2 linked regions of the Coturnix japonica genome follow. The protein of the gene in region 1 purifies or fractionates together with the protein of each later gene. This does not show direct contact. Links are inferred from orthologs where the notes say so. Each region holds a gene or a part of one and is shown in the gene's direction. Other genes may lie near its edges. The genes, in order: KIF3A and KIFAP3.

The links.
Region 2: the proteins of KIF3A (region 1) and KIFAP3 purify together in Homo sapiens (co-immunoprecipitation; 9 studies listed by BioGRID and IntAct, counting the BioPlex papers as one, with this or other methods). This does not show direct contact. The link is inferred for Coturnix japonica from reciprocal best matches to the Homo sapiens genes KIF3A and KIFAP3.

The regions. Positions count from the first base shown.
Region 1 is NC_029528.1:1,221,010-1,231,979, forward strand, and holds part of KIF3A (kinesin-like protein KIF3A), read left to right. Parts: coding exon 1-91; intron 92-1,116; coding exon 1,117-1,218; intron 1,219-2,794; coding exon 2,795-2,866; intron 2,867-4,654; coding exon 4,655-4,663; intron 4,664-5,675; coding exon 5,676-5,832; intron 5,833-6,733; coding exon 6,734-6,914; intron 6,915-7,226; coding exon 7,227-7,337; intron 7,338-8,041; coding exon 8,042-8,167; intron 8,168-8,594; coding exon 8,595-8,648; intron 8,649-8,786; coding exon 8,787-8,855; intron 8,856-9,041; coding exon 9,042-9,166; intron 9,167-9,661; coding exon 9,662-9,710; 3' UTR 9,711-10,970. UniProt on the Homo sapiens protein: Microtubule-based anterograde translocator for membranous organelles. Plus end-directed microtubule sliding activity in vitro. Plays a role in primary cilia formation. Plays a role in centriole cohesion and subdistal appendage organization and function.
Region 2 is NC_029523.1:6,580,886-6,591,855, reverse strand, and holds part of KIFAP3 (kinesin-associated protein 3), read left to right. Parts: intron 1-7,407; coding exon 7,408-7,597; intron 7,598-10,970. UniProt on the Homo sapiens protein: Involved in tethering the chromosomes to the spindle pole and in chromosome movement. Binds to the tail domain of the KIF3A/KIF3B heterodimer to form a heterotrimeric KIF3 complex and may regulate the membrane binding of this complex.

The DNA.
Region 1 (10,970 bases):
AACAAGGCCAGGATTAATGAAGACCCCAAGGATGCTTTGCTTCGTCAGTTTCAGAAAGAAATTGAAGAGCTTAAGAAAAAACTGGAAGAAGGTGAGATTCCCCTTCCACCAGGTATTTCTCTCTAGACTAATAACTCATTCTGCTTGTGTGAGAAGTCTTCACTATTTGAAAATGTCATATGAATTCAGTAGCTGATTGCAAGTCATTATTCTGGCCTTGATGACCCAGCAGGATGCTCCCAGTGCAGGGCCTGGCTTTGCCCACCAGGTGGCACTTGGCACAAGCATAAGGTGATGGACTGTAGACTGAATTTAGTGTGCTGAGAACCTGAGGGGTTTCTGGGTATGACTGGATGTGGTGTAGGTATTTAAAGGACATGATAACGAAAGTTAAATGTTTTCTTTGCTTGAGGAGATATGCAATTAGGACTAAAATGAAATTAATTTGTATGACTAGAACTGAGGCTGACTATCTAATCAGTGCATAGAAGAAACAAGAAGCTTCTTTAAGCTTTGGAACTTTATGGGCTTGTGATATGATTACCAGCATTCAAGGATTTTTCAGAAAGGATTCTTCCTGAATAGTGCCCTTGGTATAACATCCAGCTCCAAAGATGCTCACAGTACAAAATAGCTTTAGCAGTAACTTCAGCAAGGCTTACTGCTTGGAATCTCTACCACTAAGGAGAAGCAGGAAATAGTAATACTTTCTTCAGGGACTGGAATCTAGACATAGCTGTTTCATCCCTAGTGTGCTGAGGGTGACTTCTTAAATTTGTAATTACTAAACTGTGGAACAAATAGCTTTGTTTATTTGGCCATTTTCTGTCTCTGATGGAACTGAAGGTACTGTGAATAGAAAACAATGTAGCATTACGAGGATCTGAGAATACTTACCATAGTTTTATACACACTGACTTTGCAGCATTATATGGCTTACAATACTCTTCTTTAATTTTCCAAAGCTATTGCAAATTATCTCCTTGGGAGTTATTGACTTCTGCAGCTACTCATAAGCTGGTTTCAGATAAGTGCTGCTGTCACAATAACAAGTTAATGTTATTGGAAGGCTCCGATGAAGGAAAGTGCATCACAAAGCATACTTTCTGTTTCTAGGAGAAGAGATATCTGGATCTGAGACAAGTTCTTCATCTGAAGAAGATGAAGAGGACGATGGGGAGATTGGAGAAGATGGGGAGAAGCGGAAGAAACGTCGGGGTAAGGCAGAAGAGAATCCTGTCAGTGCTACCAATTTCCTTTTGCCCAGCAGCTAGCGTCAGGAACTATAGAGCCAGGCAGGGAGAAGTGGAGTTGTAGGGCTGCCCTACTGCCGCTGCAATTATCATGCCTCCCTAGAAACATAGCTATTTGGTGCTCTCTCTGTAGATGGACAGCTCCAATCCTGTGTGGTATTTGCTTCCACTTGGGTAGTTGTGCTTGTGGTAACATCATCTTCTGTGGTGGTTCCCTGGTTGCCGCAAGGTGGCTGCGTATGGCTTGTGACTCATGTTGTGGAACTTCCCCTGCTCACTGAAATGGGAGGAGGAAGACACCAAAAATCAGTAGTAGACAGATGTATTCCTTTATAGCCTTTCTCATGGCTAGATGGGGATTTTGGCTGTGGTTTAGGCAAAGGATTCATCTGTCCTGTGGATGTTCAGTAACTGGCTTCATTCTGGCATCCTGTTTTATGCTGATAGAGGAAAAACTTGACCTCTGGGGGTGTCTGTGTGCTAGCTGAAAAGCTGAATGGGAGCTACACATCCCTTATTTGGGAGCACTCTGGAAATCCCACGACAAAGTCTGCTTTGTCCTACGCTGTGATAAACTAGCATGTAGTGTCAGCCACAGAGAATGCTGCTGAACCTAGACTTGCAGGTCATGGTGTACCATAGAGAACTGTGGCTTGTAGGGAGCCTGCTACACCCATGGGAACTATGTTTATTTGTGGGGAGTAGGGAAGTCAAGCCCAGTGCTGTGCTTCAATTTCCAGTTTGTCCATTAAGTGCTGTCATTCAAACTGCCTTCCTGTCTTAAGGTACTCACATCTGTTTGAACAGCATTCCTGCATTAAATAGATTACCCTTTATTCTGATATCTGTCCAAGCAGTATCATAAATGACACCTTCCGAACCTTGTGTTGGTTGTAATACACCCTTTTACTTCATTTTTCCCCACTTGTTCTTTCTAGAAGCAGGAATCCATCAAGAAATAATTTCTACCCAAATCCACCACAAGAGAAAGCCATCTTCAAAGTACTGCTTGAAAAGAATAGGGGGGAAATAGCTGTCACTTAGCTAGAGCAGCCTGTTTGGAAGTTAAGTTCCCTAAGTAAGGCTGTGCTCAGCAGGAGCTTGCATAGTAACTGTCCCTGTGTAAGCTGATTCTCTCTTCTAGACTGTTAAATGTACATTGCCATGTACATAACAGTGGAAAAACTCCTGGTCACCAAATCTTCTATTAATGTAGATATCCACAGCCACCTTCACTGCAATCTGTTTTTCTGTGCTATTGCTTGAAATGGAAGCAGCCTTGGCATGAGATTTTAAGCTGTAGGCTTGTTAAGATGGGTTTTAACTGAACTGTCTCTCTGAGCATGCCATTCTGTGCTTGGAAGCGATGGCTTTGCAAGCTGAGTCTGGGAGGGATTCTAGCAAATGCTTCCTAATGAGAACTCTGTGCCTTTAAAACTATTTTGCCATTTCTTCTGGGTTTCTTTTCCTTAGAACTAACTTCCCATCTGCATGTTTCTTCCTCTCTGGTTTTTTCTGTGGGACTCATTTCTGTTTTCCAGGCAGTAGCAGCAGCAGTAGTTCAGACTCCACATGCTCTGTCATAGAGAAACCTCTGGATAAGTCCTTCACTAGTGAGTGGGAGCTCTTAAGTCCTTTAAGCTTTGGCCTTTCCATGATCTGTGCATTTCATTTTGCAATGCTGCACTCTTCCCTGCTATGTCTATTGGAACATAAATAAACCTGAACTTACAACTCAGCTAAAGCATGCCTTTCCTTTGTTGCTTTCACGCTTGCGATGGTGGTTTGATGTGCACGTTGTCAGCAAGACATGGGAATGGAGAGCAATTCAGTAGGCTTATTTAACAAGATTTAAGGACATTTGGGAAACATTAGGTTGAAGGTTTGCAATTCCTGTTTTTAAACAATCCCTCGAAAATGTCAAAAAGAAGTCTGAGCAGCTTTCTTCTTGGAAGCTGTTACACTGCATTAGATCTTGCCTTTCTAAAACTAAGTTTGGAGTGAATGATTGAACAGTCAGCAGTTAAGCTATGCAGGTTTTGTGCTTGCAAGGAAAACTTCGTTAACACTTTGGTTTTATTTTGGCAGACCTTCAAAAAACAAACCAAAACCTGGGCAGTGGTTGCTGCTTTTTGTCCAGCCTGCCTCATGACATTAAGTTTTTGGTCTCCACAGGAGGGCATAGTTGAGAAGAACAAAGGGTCTTGATTTCTAGCAGCAAGGAAGGTTTGGTCTGCTGCTGGTCAAAGAAAGGAACCTGTTTCTTTGAACAACTTACAATCACTGTATGCTTTTATTCAAACAAACAAACAAAAAAATCATATTTTGGACCTTGACTTGACCAGTTGTTGTGGTTATACTGTGTAGATGTAATCCTCACTTCTGCGTGTGGAGAACCTGGGAGGTCCTGCTGTATAGTTATACCTATGTAAATTTTTCTAGTTGTTTTGGTATAAAGCATCAGCTCAGGGGAAGTGTGGCCACAGGTAAGAGGACTCACAGCCTAAGTGTGACCTATGGATAATGGTGTTACACCTGGAAACCTGCTTGCTTCAAATTTGCTCTTTCAAAGCTTGCTTGAAACCTGAATATTTCAACCTCTTTGGATGAGGACAGTTAACAGCAAACCACTGATGTGGTGCTGGATGGATCAGTCCATCTCCTTCAAGTCTGAAGATGTTGTATAAGTTGCACTGAGCTGTTGTGGTTCATCTGTGTGGTTTGGGCTATTAACTGTCCTCACGTGTAGCCCTTTTGCATGTGGCGCCTTTCATCTTTTCCCTGACCTGCTTTTTTTACTGCATTTGCTTAAATAACCAAAACTGGCTCTATACCTCTATGGAAGCATCAGTTACTGCCAATTAACCTACTAATAAGTTACGTGCAATTGTCATTATCTTGCAAAAAACTGGCTTGGATTAACTTGGTTAAAACTTAAGTCTGTGTGCTAAGATTTTGCAGGTAATTTAAGAGAATTGACTGCCTTCAGGAAGGGGAAAAAACACTAGGTCTGTTAATCAAGAAGAAATCTACGATCTGTTTCTTAGGGCATGATCTTTGCGGCAGGCTCATAATGTTACACTTAAGTTCTGCATTGCATTGGATGGGCAGGAGAATGCAGGAGTGAGTTGAAACTATCCTGGATGTGCAAAGGACGTTACAGAAACATTCTGTGCTTTAGCACAAGATCACGATTCATTAATATTCACTCTAATGGAGTTTCACTTTTTAGTGATGATTATCCCGTTTTCTACTCTAGAAACATGCATGTAAAATCACTGCTCTGTTCTGATGCTGATAAACTTTGTTCCAAATGATCAAGCAATAATATATTTCTTTTCTTCCTTTTTATGTGTGCGCTGCCTCTCTGTGACGTGCTTTCTCCTTTCTCTTAATACAAGATCAAGCAGGTTGGTGTAATTTTGATTTTTCACTAATAGATTTTTCATCTCCTTGAAATACAATTGCAGAGCTCATTAAAGGGTCCTCCAGCTCAGCGTAGTTCACTCTTCTCCAAAACTGTGAATACACAGGCCTGTGTAATAATATGTTAGAAACCTTTATCTGGTTCACCTCTTCATTTGATGATCTCTGCGTAGCACTTGAGAAATAAAACTTTGAGTTTGGGTTACTTGAAAACTAACTAGTTTCTGCAGATGCAGAAATAAGTATTAAGTACCTAGCTCCTAAATTTAGCAGGTGGAAACCAAGATATTTTCTGCTGTAGCGCTGAAGTCCTTACAGTGCTCTTGTGTGCATGCATGTTTACAGGTGCCAGTGTATCTTTGCCTCTGCTGGAGGTTATAAGTGAATATAAACAAAAGTGAATGGCATGAAAACTGGAGGAAATGAGGCCTTTTAGTGAGCAACAACATTTTCAAGTGTGTTTTGACCATATGCATTACATCACTGTGAAAGCCTCTTAATTCTAGATAGCTTCTATTAGTTTCTAGCCATCTGGTTTCTGTGGATAATTCTCTCCTGTCCAGAGAAGAGCGAAACAAAGTGAAGGGTTTGTCATTTTGTAATGATTAAGGGGGGTCGTAAAACTTGGGAGAGACTTATGGATTTGGGGAGATCTGTACAGGCTGGATTCCAGTCTTTTCTTTTCCTTCTACTACGTAGTTAAGGTATCCAAGATTCCAACTCAAGCTTCTCCTTAGCCGTTGTTTCTTTTCCACAAGTATTCTTCATGCATTTTGTTCAGGCTTTTATATTCTAGTACATAGTTCTATAGTACTCCTTCATTGTAAGTACTGGAGGCAAATAAGCAGGCATTAAAATGGAATTTTAAAGACTGAGATGTGCTCATCTCAGAATCCGTGAGTTCTGACATTGATAACTGCACTTAATCATTTAATTTAACTTGTGATACAGAGACCGTATTATTTTTGTGATATTTTTCCCCCCTTTCTTTGAAAGGCAAAAAGAAAGTTTCCCCTGATAAGATGGTAGAGATGCAAGCAAAGATTGAAGAGGAGAGAAAAGCTCTTGAAACTAAGCTTGACATGGAAGAAGAAGAAAGAAATAAAGCCAGAGCAGAACTGGAGAAGAGAGAAAAAGATTTGCTTAAAGCTCAGTGAGTGCCCTGCTCTGAGTAGTTTTTGCGGTGTTGTGGGTTTTTCCTCCCTTAATCTACAAGTCAGATACCAATATGTGGAGATGCATAGTGAGATGCTAGTCAAGCTTTGTGTAAGCTGAACATCAGCTCTTGCTGTTATCAGAGTGAAAGAAGAGCTTCCTCTCTGCTTGCAGATTAGAGCAGGTAGCAAAAAGAAACATTATTCTTCCACCACTCTTCTCTTAGCCTTATCTAGTTGAGATGGCCTAGAAACTTAAAATGAATACTCTGAACTCTGAAGACTAGTGAAGAGCAGCAGGACTGCTGTACTGCTTGCTAGTGGGCAGTAGCTGTATAGCAAAGTGAATTTTATACAGCTCGTGCCCGTGGTGTGGGCATGCTACTGTGTGTAGGTGATCTCCATGCTGGAGCTGAGGAGCTGCTGAGATCACATTTGCTTATACAGGTCGGACAGTCTCTCCCTCAGCAGAGGCTGCTCAACATTCCTGGCTTACCTCTCAGCTGCACAGCTGAGACCTCGTTTCACTTGCTTCTGTTCCATTACAACCTGTTGCAGTATGTCTGAATCCCAGCATCATTGTGCTGGGCCCTTGGGGAGGGAGGGAGCACCCTGTGTATCCTGGTAGCACCACTGGCGCCTGGCAGCCCCTGACAGAGGGAAACTGCAGCAGGAGAGACTTGTTTGCTGAGTTGGTTTTGTTTGCATGAAAGTGATGGGACCTGGAGTTAAGGAAATCCTTGTACACTGCCTCACCCCTACTTTAAACCCTTGGCAGCTTGGCAAGTTTTTCAAGCCCTATGAGTGCTGTCTGGGCTGTAAAAACTGAGCTGAACCTGGCTGCCTTGTGAGCACCTTGAGACAGGAAGTTCCCAGCTTTACTTGTCTCTGTCTCTCTAGACAAGAGCACCAGTCTCTTCTGGAGAAACTGTCTGCGCTGGAGAAGAAGGTGATTGTAGGAGGAGTGGACTTGCTGGCAAAAGCAGAAGAACAAGAGAAGCTTCTAGAAGAATCAAATATGGAGCTGGAAGAACGAAGGAGGAGAGCAGAGCAGCTTCGCAAGGAACTTGAGGAGAAGGAGGTGGGTTATACTCCCAGCTATCTGGAGGTGGTAGGACACTGTGTTACTTGCCTTTGCCTCTTTGTGTGGATGAAATATGGCACTACTCTGAAGCACAGTAGAAATCAAACATTTTAGAGGCATGTATAACCAGTGCTCACCTGCAGGACAGTGAAATCATTGTGAGTGTCAGCCAGCCTGGCTAAGCCAGGTATCCATGCCCTTGGCAAATGCTTTGTTTTGTCCAAGTAGCTTCCCTTCCTGTTCATGTTGCTGCAAATATTTTCTTTGATTATGCTAATGTGTGGATATCTGTTAAATGTTGCTTTACAGCAAGAACGCTTGGACATTGAGGAGAAGTATACCAGCCTCCAGGAAGAAGCACAGGGAAAAACAAAAAAGCTGAAGAAAGTTTGGACCATGCTTATGGCTGCAAAATCAGAGGTCAGTGTTCTGAAGCATTCAGCTTGTGGTGGAGGAACTGTAGGTGGAAAGAGCAGGCCATCAACTTTGTCTCTCTGGCTTGAGTGCTACAGGTTTAGAAATACTAGTGTGTTGTCTGTTCGGTTTACGCAACTTTAAAGAACAAATTAAGCTTTGTGTCAGATCTGCACAGGGGTACATTGTAGAGCTTTTCCTCAAGGAAAACCATTGGTTATTTCTGAGCAAAGTTAAAGTTGTTTGGCAGTCCAGTCTCCTGCTTTGCAGCTGCTCGAATCCACATCTGCTCTTAGTTTGCTGCTTTTTGTGCATGTTGCTCTTATTCTCTCTCAGTCACATTCAATCAGTATGTCACTTGGCTGGTATCTAGGCTCCCTGATTCATGAAAGCATGTTTTTTATCTTTGGGAGCTGAGATTTTCCTTGGGATCTTGCCAGATACAGAATTTGTTTGCACGCTTTGCCTGCTTTTGATGTAAAACTTGGACTGACAGCTAATTTCATCTTTTTTGAAGCCAAGAACTTAATACTGCTTTTAACCATCTCTGAGCTAGAATGTTTCGGAGGGTTTGTTCTTGAGAGAAATATTCTGGTACTTCTAACTAGAGTTTGCTTTCATTTCTCTAAAACATACAGGCAGAAAACAGTTCTTTTAAGTTGTTATCGTGTCTTATATTAATTCTGACCTCTCATATGCTTTGTCCACAGATGGCAGATCTGCAACAAGAGCATCAGAGAGAGATTGAAGGCTTACTGGAGAATATTCGGCAGCTGAGCAGGGAACTTCGTCTTCAGATGCTTATCATAGACAACTTCATTCCTCAGGACTACCAGGTACTACTGAGAGCTGAAGCCTTTGATGTGGTCGTATACAGTATTCAGTTAGCCCCCTAGCATTATTTAGTCCATCAACAAATGGAATGAGTTGGCTTCCAAAGGCATTGACAGTCAACTTGTCTGACACTTCTCTGTTAAGCTGTAGTACGAATGTACATAAGTGGAATGTTCTTACTGCTATTATGATTGCATTGACTTATGATAAATCCATGCTTTAGTGGGAACTTTGTTGTGCACAGCTTGGGAGTGATGTTTTTCTGTAGTTTCCTTAGTCTTCAGATTACAAAATAGGGGTTTTGAATGTGGTATGGCTGTCTGGATTAAAAATACATTGGAGTGGTCAAGGCTGTTCTTAAGCAACCTGTCTACACATCTGGAGTGTAGATTGTGCAGTTCTGTAACAGTAACTCTAATTTCTTTCTAGGAAATGATTGAGAACTATGTTCACTGGAATGAAGACATTGGAGAATGGCAGCTGGTAAGCTAGCTTACATACAAGCTAATGTTAGCATAAGCTTTTGAGGAATTTAACCTAGCCCAGAAGTAAACTGATAAAGCTGTACAGTGCTCAGTAAAACCGACTGCATTTCACTAACTGACCTTTCTTGTTTTTAAGAAATGTGTTGCATATACAGGAAACAATATGAGGAAACAGACTCCTGTCCTGGACAAGAAAGAAAAAGATGTGAGTAACTCTTAATAAGCCTGTATTGAACTCTGTAGGACTAAGTTCTGCTTTCTGTGTTTACCACTTTGTATTCATGGGAAAACTGTCCAACTTCAGTTTTCTTGTTGGAAGTCTTTCTAGTGTTACAAAAGAGCAACTGATCAGTGTACCAAACAGTTCTGATATTTTGCTGTTTTTCCTTAGCCCTTTGAGGTGGACCTTTCCCACGTTTACTTAGCTTACACTGAAGAAAGCTTGAGGCAATCTCTGATGAAGCTTGAGAGGCCGAGGACTTCAAAGGGAAGATCCAGGCCCAAGACTGGTCGAAGGTGAAGAACTTTGGAGTATCTGTATGTAATGGGGAGTTTTCCCAGGGGAAGGCTTAAGCTGATGCCTGCAAACTTGAGACAAATGTTTGTAGACTTATGGCTAAGGCAATATGCTAAAATTCTGCATGATAGAAGGGTTACTGATGTCAAGTGTAGTAGAACCAGGCTGAAATCTTTTACTGTGCTAAAATATTGTCCAGAAAGTTTGGTCTGTGGGGGGTGTTTGATTTCCTGATTTCACATTCCCCTCTTCTGGCTGCTTGTTTTTATTTCACTGATTGCTGGTTCAGTTTAACCAGTGACACGCTGACAGCACATATACTTTCATTACTAGGAAGTTATGTCTGTTGGGGAAGATTTCAGCATGGGTGTTCCTGATCCTTTGTGAAAATGATGTGTAGTTGTGACCTGAGAAGTGGCTGGTCCCTGTCTTTCCTGGACAGTATAATGATGTGTGTGGTATTATTTCTCTTTTCCTTTTTGCTCTCCAAACAGAAAACGTTCTGCAAAGCCAAGCGCTGTCATTGACTCTCTGCTGCAGTAGGTGTGACGTGTTCAGAATTGCCGTAAAAATCAGTGAGTGTGAAAGGTTTGGCCAGAATATGGAATTTGAGATGGGACAGTTTGAAGTGGCTATGAAATCCATGCCTTGCTGGTATGGAGCTTTAATTAAAATATGTATTTTTCCTTAGTTGCCTGTAAACTGTATGTTATATTAACATAATATTAAACTGGTATATTTTATGGTTGTGAAATTCCATGTGTTAAACAATGTGTTGTGCAGGGAACTGTTGTTGGTAATCTTTCTTGAAATGTATAGAAAATAAGGATTCTATATGTGTTCAAGTACTAGACATAATAGCTCAAAATGGTTGCTGGAATCCTGAAACTTAATGCTGGTAAATCTGTGTCCTGCTTTGCACATAACTGGCAGCTTTCACTGTTGTCTTCTGTTGCACTGATCTGTTTGGATGCGGTTGCTGCAAACCTTTGAGTTAAGAGCATCAAGCCCTTTTATTTGAGTATTTCACTGTAGTTATTAAGCTGATCATATTGTGTATTTGAGACACAACTCTCTTTATTTGCAGTCTTGCTGTACAAAAAGTAGTTGAGTAGAAGAGTACTTAGAACTACATAAGTCTGAGGTTTGTGGGAAGGGACCATACTCTGTTTGAGTGCAACACTAGTAGTCTAATGCTTTGATTTTCGTCTATTTGTGTGATCTGCTGGCAACGTGGAGAGTGAGGGCTGATGCACAGATAAGAGAACTCTTCCTCCTCTTAAGATGCTGCGTTGCTGCATTGCTTTGGCTGCTTTTTATGCTTCTGAGCTGGAAGCTGTTTTAATTGGTGTGCATTGTTTTGTTGTAGTCTGGACAGCACACATTATTTGAGGGGAAGGCTTTAATACTAGAGGGACTGAGCACTATGGCTCCATTGTCTCATCCCTGGCCACAGCTGAGGATGAATTTCTCCTGTGTTGGAACAGACACGAATCTCCCAGTTTTCTCAGAATAACATCCTCTGAAATAGGTGATGCTGTTCGTGTCTGTGTGCACCACCTCCTGCTTCTGACTATGCTTCGAGGGGAAAGAAATCTGGTCTCTGCTGATAACCAATTGTGGTGGCTGCTCTTTTTCTTTCCTTTTTGTGCTGCTAATAGACACTGAACGCCTCAATACATTGCTTTTGTGTCACAAAAATGCATCTCCTTTGGGCTGTGCACTGTATTAATACCTGCTGGAGTGCAGCAGCTGCAGGTACCTTAGCAGTTCCCATGTCACTGTGGTGTTAATTAGGTATTC
Region 2 (10,970 bases), on another chromosome or scaffold:
CCTTTTGTATGTAGAGCAGCTGCTGTGAAATTAAATCTTGCAAAGAGAACTTGACTCTGAGTCAAGAGTAATATCAAATTATTGGACTACGTTAATGCTTTTGTTATCAGCTGCTTAGTTTCTTCCTCCATGGAATTGTTATGCATATTGCAGCTTGTTCTCTGTAAGGTTTAATAATCTTCTGAAGAAAGAAGTAAAATGACATAATGCTCCCTGTATTGGAGTTCTTTTTGTCTCTCTGCTTTACGTCATAGAGGTATAGGATGGCAATTGTTCCTCACTAATCAGTAGCTGTTAACATTTGTTAAAAGCGGGATCTCAACTAAGATGCATTAGTAGTTGTTTCTGAGGGGTATTACCAGGATCAGCCACTTCCAGAGACCTCTCCCAGGGAAATGGTAGAAAGAGTTTATCCATTGGATGAAGCTGAACATTTATCAATGTTTCCAACACCTTTTGTTGCTTTCTTCTTTCCCTTCCTTACAGCCAGTGCAGTTTCCAGGTGTCTTAGGGGCTGTTATGTTTGTTAAGGGAAGCTGTGCAATGTGGGACTAATTTTTCAGTAAGTAGATACTGCTGTGTTAGTAGTTTTATTCAGCAGCCTTTGTTTTATGGAATCCAGAAGAATAAGTACATAAAGACACAGCTTCACATCCAGCATGAACTTGAGAGTAAAATCTACTTGGCTTCCTTTCTTTCCTTGGCTATGTTAGGGGCTGGTAGCACTCCATTTTCCACTACCAAAAAACCACAGGCTGTAAAGGTAACTCATCCTAGATGGCAAATGGTGAATCAGTAAGGTCTCAAAACCCTCAGGTCTTGAAAGACATCCTGCAATGTAGATTCTATTGTATGATAAAGTAGGCTCTGAACACTGAAGTATTCAGCTGCATGGTGTTCTTACACTGCCAGTACCTTCTGAAGTGTCTGAACAGACATAGTCTCTAGGATTGTTGAAATTTCTTATCAGTGCTAAGTCCACAACAAGAGAAACTTAAGTTTGCAGTCTTGTTCCATACATGCTGACAGGGTTAGTTCTTCTGATATTGGAATTCAGAAAGTAAAAGATGGAGAAGAGAGATTTGATAATAATTTCTTCTCGAGGAGATAAATGCTGCTTTCACTCATCCATAAGCTCTATGTAGTGTGATTGAAATAACACTGTAGAAAATCAGATGCCTTATAAGCCTTAGGGGAGATGTGCTTTCTATAGTAAAGTAATTGTCACAGAAATTATGGAAATGTTACACTAGTGATGATTTGTTTAGTACAGTTTGGCTGGACTCTGCCATTGATGAAGTGAAACAGATGTGTTGCTTTAGCATAATATGTTCTGGGAAGCCTTGGCTTTTTGCTGGTGCAAGCAAGATACTGCTTTTGTTTAAAAATCTGTGTTGATAATTTAGAAAAGCTTTGGTTTAGTGTCACGTGCTGAGCCTTAACACCGAGCAGTTAACTGAGTGGAGCTGTACACCTACAGCTGGACAGGTTGTACGGCTCAGCTGAAAGCCTGGAATCAACAGCGGGCTTCTCAAGCAAATGAGGTTTGCCATTCCTCTGGTCCTGGACATCTGTTCTTGATGCTTGTGAAATAAATGTCAGTTTACTCAAGAAGGTTTTACTCTGTTCACATCCGACAGTATTATCAAGAGCTGATGAAATTATTAATGGCTCAGCTTTCTTGTCTTCTGTTCTTTGCTTTCCCTTATTGCTATTAAATGCTTTTCTTAGTTTATTTAAAGGATATTTAACCGTAGTCAGGTCTTTAGACTTCAGTCTAATGAGCTTTCCCACTCACCAGTTTTCAGACAGATTTCCTGTTTGGTTTTTTTTTTTTACAGCTTTGAATCCAGGCCCACTGTACCATCTTATTTCCTTTATGATGTAGAGTGAATTATTTTCCTTTGTGCAGAAGTAAAAAAAACAAAGATATAGCTACAGCACTGTGATCTAATGTCCATATGCTTAAGGTATTTTTAAGGTGTGGTATTTTGGTTGGTTTTTTTTTCCAGCTCTCATTGTTTTTCCCAAAATACTTGTAATGAAAGCCAAGCGATATTTCTCAGGTGGAAAGCTGTGTTAATGAATAGTTTGCATCTTTGTCTATTAACCAGACACTGTGACCCAAGTTCTCCATGTTGCAGATGCTGGAAGTTCACATAAGAGGCAGGAATGTGCTGTGAATCCTCAGGGATTTGGGGCCAGCTGTTCAAGATGTTGACCAGTGCTCTGAAAATCAAGGAAGACCAGACCACAGGGATTTGGCATGGGCTTTATTTGAGTAGGCACTGTATTCTGAACACAGATAACCTTTGACTCCAGCCCGGTGTCCTCCTTCTGTGTGCGCTGTACTCACTCCAGGAAAAGAGTTTCTACCTTCATTTGTCAAGGCTCCTTATTTCCATGCTGTTGTGTACCTCTGTTATCTTCTAACAGTCGTGAATGCAGAGAGGTGGGCAGTAGAAGCAAGTAGGATGTGGGACTGCTGGCCGTACTGTTGACTTGTATTTTCATTGTTCAATTTCTACATTATGAAATTAGAAATCAGTCCACTTGGGTGCCAGTAGCTTTTTGTTGCAAAGAGCATCCAGCAGGAAGACTCCACATGGACTAGACAAATAACCACCCTACAGGGAGTGTAAAACAGGGCATGTGGGTTCTGATTCTTTTGTATTCACCTAAGTGTGCCCATGCAGATTTCCTTCGAGCATTGGTACTTGTTCTTTGGGATTCAGAAGCTAGAAAGGTGAGCTGAACCAGTGGTCTCTTTTCCTTCCATTACAGTTGGCCAATTAGATACCTATAATTTTTTCAAGGAAAAAAGACAAAGTGTTTTTAATGTAGACGCCTAAGCTTAGGGGACGTGAATGTTTCTTCTTTTTGCTACTTGGCCATTAATTTCATTTCGTAGGTTTTTACTTGTCTATCAGCATATATTTAGTGATGAGGCTACTTGCAGAGAGGTTGTGCAAGCAGAAGTTATAGAAGAATTCCTTTTGACCTGTCAGTGAATTGCCCTCTGGTACCACTTAGCCCAAGGTAGGCGTCATAGATGCCCGCAGAAGGTGATCCATACCATCTGTTTCTATCCTTGCTTTATAGAGGTGTGTAGTTTTAAATTACGTGCCTAAATCTTGGTTAGCTAGACAAGATAAATCTTTCCTTAACTAAAAAAGTGGTTAATTTGACCTTTCTTGTAAACTGTATGTTTTAGGAATGTTTAAATAACGAAGAATGTAACATATCACTTTACCGACTACGGCCTTAAATGTAACGAGCATTCAGCTTACTGTATAGCAGTTTTAGTTTAGTATGAGGAATCGCATCAAATGAACCCTATTACAGACCCAATTAAAGGGCAACCACATTAAAGTGAAAAGGAAAATCTGTTTTTCATCAGCTGTGAGAGAACACAAAGCAGATCTGTGTAGCTCTATGTTATCCTATAGTGTGTTAATCAGATACAAGGTGTGACGGAAGCCAGTGACAAAAGGGACCCCTGATAGGGAACAGACACGCTCTGATAATAGGCCAGTTAACGCTTCATAATATTTCAATGGTTCAGTAGTAAACAAAGTTGGAAGCAGAACTTCAAAAAGGATGGCACATTCCTTGCGGAGTCAAACCATACATCTCCCGTGTCACGTTGGGATTTATGGAAACCGAATGTTAAAAACGGTGATGTCAGGGAGCTCCAAAGAGAATAAAATCAACCTTCAGGATTCCTCCTTTTATGTTGCTGCCCATGCTGTATTCGGGGTGAGGGGTGGAGAATGGGCACATTCCATCTGCTGCTTTTCTGCTGGACTGGTGTTCAAAAGCACTGGAGGGGACAAAGCTGTGTTTGTCTCCATAGTGTTTAGTTTTCTGGTTTAATTTTTGCAGGCATTCCTTAGTTTCAAGAAGGCACTTTTAATAGCTGAAAATATAATTACTGGAAGCCTTACTGTGTTTTAGGGAATTGTTTTGCCCTAAATTTCTTTAATTTGGTTTCTTTAATTTGGTTTCTTTGTGCCTTTTGGCCATAGTTCTGCATTTACAGCTTTTCTTCCATTCTGATGTTGTTCCATTAATCATTTACCCAGTGGTGTTTCTGCACATTTCTGTGGAAAATTTACAGACGTACCCTTGATCACGCAGTACTTAAATGAACTTTTTTGTGTCGAGGTTATGTAAATCATTGGAGATTGCTGCAAATCATCCTTTTCTAGGATTGCTGCCAGAATGAAACCCTTGATGCAGCTCCTCAGTGATCCTATTGATGGCGTGGCCATCTCTTTGTTCTTGGTCATTCATGGCGAAGTGCAGGTTACAGACCCAGAAACCAGACTGTCTGTTGGAACTGGTAGCGTGGGATTTGCAAGTGATGTGTGACTGTGTTCAGTCTCAGAACCAATAATCTGCCAGTCAGTTGCTCATCCTGTTTTCCAAAACTTTATGAATGATTGAGGGGAAATACCAGCAGGTTTGAAGCCTCCTAGTGTAAGGAGAGGAATGTAGAACGCATAGGAGTGTTCAGTCTTGTTGCTTTCTAAAAAAAAAGTGGTGTTAACTGTTTTGTTTCCAGAAGGATACGAAGTTAATGTCTATTTGTGGGGGAACGTCCAACCAGTTTGAACGGTAGCATGGAATGGGGCAGTGGGGTTGGCTAAATGGGATTCCTTTGTGTTGTAATTTCTGGGAGGTTAACCCGTTTTCAAAGCTCTGTGATGGTAAATGTGAAGTAGAGATGCAGCTACTGCCCTTTCTGCTTTCGGGAACTTTTAGAAGTAAACAAGGTAATGTGAAAGGAATTCAGCTTTCCCGTGGATTAATCTAATTTACTGTTTGTTTGGTTTCTTTCTTTCTTCCACCCCTTTGCAATTGTGATTTCTGAGAATAGTTTTGCTAAGACTACAGTGTGATCTCTGGCAGTTACAAGGTGTTTCTCTAAAGCTTGTAAGTAATTCACAACTGCTGGGAGCTGATATAATAGTCCACGTTTTAGCTCTGGCAGATGCAGCAAAGTAGATGTTCCCAAGATGGCTTGTCAGGTGGCACTGAAAGTCCTGCTTTCATTCTTTCTTTCCCTGGATCATTTTATAGGCATTGATGCTGAGCCTTCCTTTCCCAGGGATTGCTCTGGGATTTCCATTTAATTGAGAGCTGAAGTGTGTGTGGGGAAATATCAAGAAGCAGAAACAGCATGAGGTGTTCTTTTTCCACACGGTGTGAGGTGTGAGGTTGGTTGCTTTGTTTTCCTCCCTAAGGACACCGCATTACTGTACGGTTGACAGGAGCTTGGAATTTTGCTGCAGGCTAACAGGGACTGGGAGCCTCCATTGATCCCACAGGTGATGCTTGTTCTGTGCGTGGGCGCTGTGCATGAGAGCAGGTGTTGAACAGAACTGCCTGAGTGCCTGGATGGTGCAGAAGGGAACTACTAAGATCACATAACCGCTGCTGATCAGACACGGATTCTAAGAAATAGGGAATGATACCACAGACTGATCATGGCCCCAGATTTGCAGCGTGCATGGATGTCCCATCAAAAAGGAATTCACCTCCTGCTCTAAGCCAGGAGAAACAAACTTCTTGTTCCTCCAAGTAAAACGGTTTTAAGACCCACTGCCATAGCATAATGGTTTGTGGTTGTACAATGCAACGTGATTCCTTGTGGAATCTTGGAGGCTTGAGATAGGCTGGTTAGCAGAGTTGGGGTATCCTCTGCCAGAAGGACTGAACCAGCTTGGTTTTTTTTTGTGTGTGTGTTATCAGCAGTCAGAAGGGTGGAAAAGGCAAAGGCTAGATAGACAGTGTGGTACCCACGTCAGGTTAACAGCAGTGAAGACAAGGTATCCTGACAAGTAAGTTTAAAAGCTCAAATTCAGTCCATAGGGCTTTTAGAAGTTTAACCCCCAAGCTACTAAACCAACTTATTCTGTCTTCACTGCTATTTTTTGACCTCGGGTTGTAGACAGATCTGCTTTTGCATGTCTAGCTGGAGCAGTTTAAGAAGTTACTACTTCTGCAGCCAAGATGTTGTTAATTGTATGAACAATCTTCCCTTCTGGGCTAAGTAAAATGGATTTTAAAAACCTTAAAGTGCTCCAGGTAGATCTCAGAGGGCAGCCTGTCTAGAGCATATGTTAACTATCTTGAGGTAAGAAATGGTTTTCAATTTCTGCCTGTTTTGGAGTTCAGTTAGAAGACAGTGAGGTGGAAGTGCTGAGACCTGCCTTACAGGGTGTTTCTTCCCACAAATAGAAATGCTTTGTTGGTTATGAATGTTGTTCTCGGTCACAATTCTTTGATTAAAAGAAGGTAATAGCCACTGTGCATTATTTGTGCATCTTCTTAAACTGATAATACCTGCAACTTTAATATGTTCACATGTGTCTATAGGTAAACAACAGCCCAGGCAGTCTGTTTTGCTTAGAGGAGCCTTCTAAACAGCTGATTGCACTGACTGCTGTGACTTTTCCTTCTGATATTCCTTTACACTGAATATCACATCATCAGAGAGTGCAGTTATTCCAGCCCAAAATTTCGTGACTACCTTTTGTTTCCATAGTAGTCTATACCTATATCCTGCTTCCCTCAGCATTCTGGAGAAGTTCTTCTCTGACTTTGTCTTTGCTTCCTGTATTCATGAATGTTGTGTGCCAATTTTGTGGGTGTTCAATATTAAAAGTAGCAATTTGTTTTGAAGTTTGTCAGGAAGCTGAGAACTAAATCCTGTTTTTCAGGTGCTCATGAAACAAAGGCTTAACTGGTTTTATCACTACCCTTTTTGTTCTTTTTGAGTAATTAGAACAGGTTGCTCAGAGGGGTTGTGGATGCCCCCTCCCTGGCAGCATTCAAGGTGAGGCTCAATGGATGGGGCTGTGAGCAGCGTGGGCTGGTGGGAAGCGTCCCTGCCTAGCAGGAGGGTTGGAACTACATGATCATAAAGGTCTCCCTTCCAACCCAAAGCATTCTATGATTCTGTAATGAATGCTTGTCTAATGAGATCAAACAGTATTTGGCCAGTGTTAGTGTTTTATTCCTGCAGACCCTCTGAAAATTGGCTGTAATAGGCTCTTCCTGATGGTCCAGGTGGGGAGACCATGATGATTGAACTCCCTTGCTCAAAGCAGGAGAGTTTTCTGGGCAGTGCAGAGTTACAGACCGTGAAGGGAAGATTGTACTGCTGCTGCACGTACAAAACCAGAGCGAGGCCTGGTGTTTGGAAAATATTGCCTTTATTGCTCAAAGCGTTCTACACACTTAAAAGATTTAAGTCAGTGAGTGCTGAAACTTGAATCTTTTGCTGATGTTAAATTCCTCTGCTATTTCCTGTTAAACCAAACAGGTCTTTGTCTATTCTTCATCGCAGCCTCTTGTGTGGTCATTTTTGGTTTGGTTTTTTTTTTTTTTTACTAACAGGAATATGATGAGGAATGGGCGAAAAAAATCCAGAGTGAGAAATTTCGATGGCACAACTCTCAGTGGCTGGAGATGGTGGAGAGTCGGCAGATGGATGACAGTGAGCAGTATCTGTATGGGGACGATCCTATTGAGCCCTACATCCATGAAGGAGATATTCTGGAAAGACCTGATCTCTACTACAACGCAGGTAAGAGCACACGTTGGTATTCAGCGCAGGGATAGCTGCCTCTCTTTGTATTTGAAACCAGGATCTGGCCTGTTGCTGTAGGAAGAATGCTCAGAGCAGTGGTAAAACTGTCTCTGTGTGTCAGTGGGAGCAGTGCTGATGCATATTTGCTGGGGATTTGTGTCCTCCCTCCAGGGGTTGCTTTTGCCAACCCTTTCAGGTACAGTATCAGCCTGCAGGGAGATCTCATGAAATAAGTTACCCACTGGATTAATGTCTTCATAGCCTTCAACAACTAGGGGTTGGCTTACGCATTCAAGCTTGTGGTTTTATTTCCTTTTCAAACTCCTGCATAGCTGTGTATGTGCGTGTGGCTTTTGAATTTTCCATACAAGTGTCCAGTCCTTTGCTATGAAGCATGAGTCACAAAACTCTGACTCTGGATGGATTTGCAGGAGTATTAATAAGACAAACAAAACCACTGAAATCAGTCAGCTTTATTTGCAGTTACTGTGAGAAAATTAATATGCAGTATCTCCATAGCATTTAAAAAGTAATTCTCAAAATAGATCAGAATTCAAGGATTCTTATTCATCTGTGTGGCTATGTATGTCAGCCGTAGCAACTTGCCTCTCCAGTGGTAAGGCTTTTCTTTTTTTGTTCTCCTTTTTGAATCCTGCAGCTTTATTTCACAGTACTTGGACCTCCAAGATGAGCGGTGTAAGCTATGTGTAGTATGGTACCAGGCTCTCTAATTACACCAAGTCGTCTTCAGGCTTCCTGAGTTGGAGGCGTGACAGTGTGCCTGTTGTGGTGCCCGCTTTACAGGCAGCATTTCATTTCACAGGGCCACTTATTTCCAAACAGTGTGAGCTGGAAACGGAGTGTCACTGTAAGCAGTGAGTTCCCTGGTTTTTAACCATTTATGTTATGTGCTTAATGTTATCTGAACAAAGATTTTTGTGTTGGAATTGCGACTTGACCAGTAAGGAGGGGCGGATTTCCAGTGATATGTTCTGCAGATGTTTGTAAAACGCTTTTGTTTTGGCAAGTATAAAACTAAGGGAATATATTCAAAATGCAGATTCCCTTCTCAGGTTCCTTCCAGCAAGTGCCAATAAGGACGTGCTTCTAAACTCTGCCAGATTTATACCTTCGAGATGGGGCCAGAAGGGACATAACTCTTCTCTAAAAAGTCTACAGATGGTTGTAGCAGTTGGAGTAGGCAGTTGGGTTTGTGAAAGATGGAGCATTAGTTGATCAGAAATGAGGAAAAATAATAGCTCTTCTTGCAGCCACAAGTGACATGTTTGTATTTTGGTGACCTGTGCTGATAGCTCACACAGTACATATCTGTCCTCAGCTGGAACAATATCAGCTTGCTGTTGACAAGGTGGGTTCCTATTGGAATAATATGTCGAATATCTCTTGAAAAGTGATCTAATCCTACCTCAAAACTTGGTAGAATCTTTGGAATCACCTTTGAGTTCAGTGTCTCCTTTGCTTCGAAGGTACTTAACCCTAATTTGTGTTGAAACGTACATAACAACAGATGGTCCTTTAACTGTAATCGCATTATATGCTGCTGATGGTATCCATGTGCTTCCTTTTTCATTTAAATTCATGGGAGCCATAAGTCTGAGCGCTATGGCTTGTATCTTAGTGAAGACGTTTTAAGCAGTGGTAACTCTGGCCTCACAGTGAAAATATAACGCTTGTTTTATTGATAGAAAAAAGTGAGGTATTTGAAAGCAGATAAACTTCCTATTAAGTTTTAAGCTCACCCATTTAAGACACAGTCACTTAGTGTGATTGTTTTCCCTATGAAACGCTCCAAGTGTAGAAATGCTAATGTGAAAAATACACAGATAGGAAATCTTGGCCTGTATTCATAGCTTTCCTCCCTTTTCTATGGCCCTTCGTCGTTCTTATGCTATCACAGAATTTGTGTCTATCCGAATATGCTGAAAGACAGTAATACAGATCTGTGCCACAATATTTGCTTGTCAAGTGATACCCTTTCACATACTGTACGCACATGTATACAATTAGAATACAGCCATTTACAGCTATCTTATGCTGCTAGAACATAGTCTGACTGTGGCTAGCATTTTCCATTTACAATCTGTAGCATTGTATTGGGTCACTTTCCCATGAGGTAGTATCTCCTCAATGAATCTCCATAGCACCTCATCAAACGTCTGTTGGAAATCTAGATGTGTCAATTCTATTCCTTTCATCATTTGTCACTATATTATCTTCAAAAAACCATCAGGTGAATTCATAAAGCATGGGGAGATTTGTTTGAATGCCTGAGTCGTCATCTTTAAGCCCCTGTGTCTGTAAGTAACTTTCCACTGCTTCCTGCACAGGCAGTTTTAGTGGATTTGAAACCGCAGAGGTTAAGCTGAGTGGCCTGTGATTCCCTGTGTCTTATCTCTCTTACTTTAAAGTGGAATGGCATTTCTAACTTCCTAGTCATTAGGAATCTCTCTCCTCTGGTAAACTATTGAATTGTCCATCAGAATGTACCTGTTTCTGCCTGGTTCTGACTGGGCTGCTTCCTGCTCTGTCAAGCTCGGATCATTTTCATACAATAATGGAAACAAACCGAGACAGGCTCTGTTTTAATTAAATTGTTTGACCTAGTGAGAGCCTGATATTACCAGGTAATAACTGTGCCCTTAATATTAACAAGGAGTGAGTTTTGGGGTTGGGAACAGGAAGGAGTTAAGCTGGGCTCTCATTCAGCTGGGGTCAGTTCACTGACTTCACTTCAAAGACGCTCTGGATTTACGCTGCTGTAAATGGGGGAAGATGTCAACCCCTGAGACTGTAAAGCCTTTAAGGAGTACTACTGGCCTTACATCTTTGTATGCTGATGCCTTCAATATAAAGGAAGCAAAAGAAAACAGTAGTACTTGTTTTTGTGGTTGCATCACATGAGACCACTCTTTTAGGAGATAAGTAGCAAAATGACACTGAAACTGGGGATGTCGGAAGAGAGTTGATTTTGAAGCTGCTTTCCTGTTGGTGTTTCTCATTTGCTTTCTTAGCCAATTTTAAAAGATACTGTGGTGAGAGGCAGAGTCTTGATGAATTAAAACCTTTGTTGCTCTTCTGCTTTTGTGCTGTTACCATAGACATGTGTTTGACCCTTCTCATTGCTTTTTCCTCTGTGCTCACTTTCATTGATGGGGCAGACAGTGTGGGTCTTGATATAGTCTCTCCAGACCATAAGATGAAGAGGTAAGAGAATTCTCCTTAGGTGCAGTTGTCCTCTAGGGCAGTAGGCTAGTTGTGGAGTCCTGGTGCATTTTCTGTTGTAGCCAAAGTCTCTCTTTCTCAGTATTATTGTTGCTTGACGCTCCTCCCAGAAATATTCCATGTTGTT